2 linked regions of the Callithrix jacchus genome follow. The protein of the gene in region 1 purifies or fractionates together with the protein of each later gene. This does not show direct contact. Links are inferred from orthologs where the notes say so. Each region holds a gene or a part of one and is shown in the gene's direction. Other genes may lie near its edges.

Region 1 (3,500 bases):
ATCAGGGGGAAGGGGGTTCGAGGTACAGGTGCACTTGCCAAGCTCGCTCGGTCTGCTGCATAGGAACTGAAGTCCAAGCCCCAGGGATTCCCTGGATGTGCAGCCCCTAACGAGGGCTCCCTCCCACTCAAGCCACAGCCCCCTGCATCCAGGATATTCCAGAATTCAGACGAGGAAAAGAGGACGAGAAGGGAACCCTCCAGGATAAGACCCCAACTCAAAAAGCTGGGCTGTGGTTGGGGAGGGGCTGTCCTTGCGCCTCGACCCCCCCCCTCGCTCTCCCAGGCCCCTCTGACAGCTCATCTGGGTGATGTCTCATCAGCAGGTGCAGAGGCTACCAAGGGGCCAAGCGGCAGCCACCCAAGCCCAGACTCGGGCTCTCTGTTCCCTCCTGCAGTCTCAGCCTCCTCCCTGGCTGTGTGCTTGGGGGTGTGAAAGATCAGCAGACTCAGTCTAACCCAGGCATTTGCTCTCTGGGCAGTTACCTAGGTCCCCACACCAGATGGTTTCTGGTGGGGAAGGGCTGCCTGGGCCCCAGGCTGCTCCAGGCCCCACCTGCACTAGGGCCGCAGATCCCCGGTCCCCCATCCCATGGTGCTGCCAGCTCCCCAGGACAGCCTCAGGCCAAGGGCCTCAGCCCAGCCTGACCTGCCTCTCCTCCCTGGCCTGGCGTTCCCTTCCGGCTGACCCGCAGGCAGGAGTAGAAGCGTGTAGGGCCTGCTGCATTCCAGCCAGCCTGGGCCAGGGTCCAGGACGGGATGGGACAGGCTCTCAGGCCCTAGCCCTGGCCCAAGGCAGCAGTCCTGAGGAGCGTTTCTGGAATTCCTGCTGACTCCCCCTTGGCCCTCCTGTGACCAAACGAGGCTCCTGCCTCCACCTCTCCACTGTGCCTGACCCAGGCCAGCACCAGGAGGGCCTCGGAGGTGGGGGGTGAGGCCCACAGGGGTCAGTGTGGCCTAGTGAGTGTGGGGTTCTGGGCTCAGGCAGCCAGAGCCGTGTGCCACCCATAGAGATGGGACAACAGACCTCATCTCTAAGCCCCAGGTTCCTGGCTAATCAAAGGGCAGCAGCCTCGTCACAGCGAGATGCACACCCTTTTAAATGTGCAGCTTTTCCTGATGCACACACGTGTCACCTGTGGCGGGCACCGAAGGGTCCTGAGCTGTGCGCAGCAGGGCCGAGGGTTGACTCAAAGCCTGTACCCACTCCCCACGAGGAGGTGAGGCTGCCTCTGATGGCACCATTGCCAGGTCGCTGGAGCAGAGCAGCCCAGGGCAGGCTGCAGAGGAGGGGACTCCACAAGGACACCAGGACACACAGGGTGTGCCCTGTTCCAGTGTCCCCTTCGTGGGGCCTGCCACCTGCACCAGGGCACACCTGTCCCCCCCCCACCAAACTTGTGCCTGGGGTCCTTTGGGGCTGCCGCCTCTGGCCGCCCACTGTTGGTGGGGTCAGCTGCCTTGCAGTGGGGGCGTGGTGCCTCCCAGGGCTGGTGTGGGAAGGCAGGGGGATTGGATTCCTTCCTCCCTCCCCATCCTCAGCCATGGGCCAGGGTAAGAGGGCCTGTCGGGCCTCTTAGCTCCTCCTGCCTTGCACATAGGAAGCTGGGACTGCCCACTGGGGCTGGAGGTGCCTTGGGCACGTCCGGCCCTGCAGAGGAAGCCCCACCAGTGTCAGGCGCAGGAGCTGTGGGACGCAGGCCAGGCCTTTTCCTCCCCCACACCCCACCATTTCTGCCTTCACCCAGCGCACCCCCAGGCAGGTCTGCCGTCCTTCTGCCCAGGAGAGCGTGAGGTTGCCCGCCTGGCCCCCAACTCAGTCCCAGCCCCTCCCTCACGCTGGCCTTTCCCCGCAGGTGAGCACCTGCGCATCTGCCCCCAGGGCTACACCTGCTGCACCAGTGAGATGGAAGAGAACCTGGCCAACCGCAGCCGCACCGAGCTGGAGACTTCGCTCCGGGACAGCAGCCGAGCCCTGCAGGCCATGCTCGCCACCCAGCTGCGCAGCTTCGATGGTGAGTGCATCGCAGGGTGCTGGGCGTGGGGGGACAGGCACGCTGTCAAAGCAGAGGGTGGGGGATTAGCAGGAGGAGGTGGGGGAGTTAGTGCTTTAGGGCTGGGGTGCTAGGTTGAAGCTCCAACTGGGGTGTGGGGCTGCCCTCAGGCCAGGATATGCAGGGTTTGACACCCAGCTGGGGGTGTGCACAGCCCATTACCAATGTGCATTTGGGGACAGAAGTCCTGTCCCATCAGCCCCTCAGATGCTCCTGTCCCTGGTAGATTCTCTTGAGCGCCTGCAGAGAGACAGGCCTGGGCCAAGCCTGCAGCTCCTCGAGTGCCCCAGGCTGCCGTCCCCAGGGACCAGGTGGCCTGGAGCCAGAGGACTCAGTTCAAGGGCTGAGACACTGGGACTGTGGACAGAGCTGCAGAGGGCCGGTCCTGCCCAGAGTGGCCGCCACTCAGCCCTTTATATTGGGCCAGGATTTTGGGGGCCCGGGGAGTGACCCCTCAGGCCTCACAGCCCGTCAACTGCTGTGTCAGAGCTGCATACTCAACCCTGGGCCGTGCCTCACCATGTGTCTGGGCACAGAGCATCAGGCACCTCCATGGGGACAGTGTGGGGTCGGGGGGCCCCCAGGAAGTGACCTCTGATCAGAAACACAGGAACTCAGTGGAGGAAGACAGCCTGGACTGAGGTCCTGCCCCTGTGACTGGGCGGGTCTGGGGCGGAGGCGGCCTGGGCTGAGGTCCTGCCCCTGTGACTAGGCGGGTCTGGGGCGGCCTGGGTTGAGGTCCTGCCCCTGTGACTGGGCGGGTCTGGAGCTTCCGGACACAGGCTGAGCAGACAGGAGTGGCGGAGCGCTAAGGCCGCAGGGCTTGGTGTGGCCATGAGCGACAGCGGCTGCTGCTGGGCCGAGATTTGTCTCAGTGTCTCTGCCTCTCTGGCTCCTGGACACCTGCTGTGGCCTCCCAGGCTCCAAGGAGGGTCTGCTGTCCCCAGGAGGGTCTGCCGTCCCCAGGGACCAGGAGCCCCCCAAGGCCATTTCCACAGGGCTTCAGTGGGTTCAGAAGCTCCCTCTCTGTAACTTCAATATCGACGCTCAAAGCTCAGCCCCCTCCCCCAACCCCCGTGTGGGACCCATGGGACGCTCATGGACCCTCTGGGACCCTCCCTCCTCCTACCCAGCTGGACCCAGGGAGCGAGTCCCTAGAGCCCAAATCAGGAGCCTTCCCTAGCCCTTGCGTCTGTCCCGAGTGTGGGGACCCCACTCACCTCTTCTACTCCATCCTGGGCCTCAGTTTCTCCGTACCGTCACTAAGCCCTGGCTCCAGCCCCTGCATGCCACCAGCCCTGCCCCTTCCCCCTCCTGCTAAGACCTTCCACCCCTCACCCACCCTTCCCGCCTGCTTCCTCCTGGCTCTGAGGGGGTCCATGTCCCTGCCCCACTCTGAGGCACCTCCGTGTCAGCAGCCTGCCGCCACCCTTCCTCCACTGCCTGC
Region 2 (3,500 bases), on another chromosome or scaffold:
CCTAGGCTGGTGATCCTAAAGCTTGGGTTTCTCCATCTCATTCCAATCCACATGTTTGGAACATGTGATTTGTTTTTTTCATTTTGGAAGCTATAGGGCATCCTTTGAGTCTCTAAAGACCCAAGAGAAGTTAAACCTTAAAGCTTTTGTATTAATCTATTTATGTGTAGCCAATTACTGCCAAATTTAGCAGTGTAAAACAGTACATGTTTACCATCTCATAGTTTCTGAGGGTCAGGAATCAAGGGCACCTTAGCTGGGTTATTCTGATTTAGAGTTTCCCATGGCAGTCAGAATGTTGGTAAGGGGTAGAGTCAGCTGAAAGCTTGCCTGCGCTAGAGGCTCTGCTTCCAAGCTCACTCACATGGCTGTTGGCAAGAGGCGTCAGTTCCTCACCACGGGAGCCTCTTCATAAGGCTGCTCATTGACATACCAGCTGGCTTCCACTATAGTAAGTGAGCTAAGAGAGAGACCACAATAGGTGCTGCAGTATCTCGTATAGCCTATCTAAGAAGTAGCATACCATTACTTGTGACATACTCTTTGGTTTATACATTCTGTGATATGAAGAGGGAGGCAGCTAGACAAGGGTGTGAATACCAAGAGGTAGAGATTATTGTGGGGGCACCTTGGAGGCTGGCTACCAAAGCCTTTGTTGGTAAATCTTATGGTTTTTTTTTTTTTTAAGTTAAAACATGCTTCAAAATGAGAAATTACAAAAGATGTGTGATGACAAGTCTTCTACCCCTGTCCCCTAGTTACCCCGTTCCCTTTCTTCCAGCCAACAATTATTTTTAACATCTTTTTTATACTTCCAGGGGGATTTTATACTGATACAAGGAAATGTACATAATATTTTTCCTCTTTTAACATGAAAGAATGCTATATGACTATTTTGCATCTTTCTTCACTTAATAATATAGCTTAAAAATGGTTCTGTATTGGTACATAATTATTTCCTTACCTTTTACAGCTGAATAGTATTTCACAGGGGTGTGGCAACATGGTTTACTTACCCCTTTCCCTATTTTTTGGTTATTCTAATCGTTGACTATTACAGTGACAGTATAGCTCATGTCCTGTGTGTGAGTAATGTCCATGAAGCCAATTCATGGAAGCAGAATTGCTGGTTCAAACATTAGGTGCAGTTATAGTTTTCATGGATAATTACCAAATTGCACTCCCCATGGATTGCACCAGTTCTCCTGGCAGCAGTATATGAGAGTATCTGTTTGCACATACTCTTACCTACACAGAGTATATATCAGACCTTTGAATCTTTGTTACTTTGACAGATAATTACACATGTGTGGTTTTAATTTGAATTCCTCTTATGAGTGAACTAAACATCTTTTCATATATTTAAAAGACATTTGTATTTCCTTTTCTGTGAATGGTCTGTTCATATTCTGGGCTTACTTGTCTGCTGGTGTTTTCCTTAGTGATCTATAGAAACTCATTATTAGAAATTTAGTCTTTTTTGGGGGTGGGGGGAAGTGGTTAATATATTTTATTTTTAACATATACGGTTATTATGTGTTTTACTTTTTTATTATTTTGAAACAATGCAGTATTCAACTTTGAAAAAAGTTGCAAGTGCTGTACTACAAAACTTTTTTTAGTAGCAGTTGAGAGTAAGCTGCTGGCATACTTCACCATCCCTATTTAGTGTGTATTCCCTTCAAATACAAACATTCCACAAAGCTTTCTACATAATCATAGTACAATCTTCAGAACTGTGAAACTGACACTAATGGTTTTATGATCATGCCTAGCAGTCTCTCTGCTTCTTTGACCCCAAAGGAGAGAAGCATAGACTCTGGAGGTAGACTCCCTGGGTTCAAATTCCAGCTCTGGGCCGAGCATGGTGACTCATGCCTATAATCCCAGCCCTTTGGGAGGCCAAGACCAGTGGATCACCTGAGGTCAGGAATTTGAGACCAGCCTGGCCAACATGGTGATACCCTGTCGCTACTAAAAATACAAAAAATTAGGTGAGTGTGGTGGCACACGCCTGTAATCCCAGCTACTTGGGAGGCTGAGGCAGGAGAATTGATTTAACCTGAGAGGTGGAGGTTGCAGTGAGCTGAGATTGCACCACTGCACTCCAGCCTGGGCAACAAGAGCAAAACTCCGTCACAAAAAAAAAGAAAATTCCGGCTCTGCCACTCACACTCGCTAGTTGTAGGTCTTTGGGCAAGTCACTCAATCCTACTCTTCCTCAATTTCCTTAGCTCTCACAAGGCATGATTGGATAATAATCATGCCTCCTTTACAGGTCATTGTGAAGATTACATGGTTAATGCTTAGAATAGTGGTTGGTACAATATGAAAGCCATGTCAGTGTGTTGCTATTATAATAATATTAGATGAAGAATAGTTGATATTAGATTAAGTCTAAATGTTTTCTAGCGGCCATGAATGAGGTTATCAGAGTTCATAGACTACAATGTAAGCTACGAATTATTCAGCTAACCCAGGATATATTTTTGTTCTTCTCTTTTTAGATTCCAGAATGACTACCATCTTGACTTACGCTTTTAAAAATCTTCATACTACATCAAAATGGGCCCTCAGATTTTGTAAGTTTATTATTATTTTTAATTATTTTTAGAGATTGGTTTTGGATTTATAAGCATCTTGCACAAATACTGAATGGTACTGCTTTTTGTAAACAGTTTATTTTGTCTTCCAGCCGTAAGACCTCTGAGCTGTTCCTCCCAGCTGCGAGCTGCCCCAGGTACAGTCATTTGTAAAATAAACATTTCTGATTTATGTTTAGATTCCAGATTCTGTAGTTCTTAAACTCTTAATAAAAACCAAAACTAATTTCCTAATTCTCCCCTTTTTATGATCAACATGAACATCTCTGTTGCCTTCAAATTAAAAAATTATAGGACCAATCAATAATGATACTACATTATTTAAGATTAGGCTTGAGGATGTTGACAGGCGGCTGCCTTCTGGGATTTGACTCTGCTGGAGTCGTGGAGGTTCCATAAAGCTCACTGGTCAGTTTATTTACCCTCTTGCTATCCGTCCTGGATATGAATGGCATACAAATGCTCTTGAGACCTGTTATGGAACCAAAAGTTAACTTTTTAAAATTTTATCTTTTAAAAAAATTTGCAATTAGAGAAATGCTTCTTTATTGATGAATATCTTTCTATCTGATAACTCATGCCTGTTGGGAAAAAAAGAAAAAACAAAACAAAACAAGAATATCTTCCTATCCCAGGTGCAAGAGGGCCCATTCCTAAAATAAAGGTGATTAGGGAACTAGTTAATAACAGATAGTTGTTTAGTTAATATGAAATGAAAGAGTAAGGAAATGTGTTGATTTTACGTCGTCATTTATACCCTCAGTAAACCCAGTGAGTTAGGCTTCTTTACTATAGATTTTTACAGCATCTGCTATATGTTTGTATCTTCACTGGCTGATGCTAAAAACACCCCAACAAATTCTTAACATTTTTCTCCTTGCCCAGATTCTATATTGA

The links.
Region 2: the proteins of GPC1 (region 1) and HADHB purify together in Homo sapiens (co-immunoprecipitation; 3 studies listed by BioGRID and IntAct, counting the BioPlex papers as one, with this or other methods). This does not show direct contact. The link is inferred for Callithrix jacchus from reciprocal best matches to the Homo sapiens genes GPC1 and HADHB.

What each region holds. Positions count from the first base shown.
Region 1 is NC_133507.1:161,741,570-161,745,069, forward strand, and holds part of GPC1 (glypican-1), read left to right. Parts: intron 1-1,855; coding exon 1,856-2,014; intron 2,015-3,500. UniProt on the Homo sapiens protein: Cell surface proteoglycan that bears heparan sulfate. Binds, via the heparan sulfate side chains, alpha-4 (V) collagen and participates in Schwann cell myelination.
Region 2 is NC_133515.1:89,130,281-89,133,780, forward strand, and holds part of HADHB (trifunctional enzyme subunit beta, mitochondrial), read left to right. Parts: intron 1-2,507; 5' UTR 2,508-2,515; coding exon 2,516-2,582; intron 2,583-2,695; coding exon 2,696-2,740; intron 2,741-3,500. UniProt on the Homo sapiens protein: Mitochondrial trifunctional enzyme catalyzes the last three of the four reactions of the mitochondrial beta-oxidation pathway.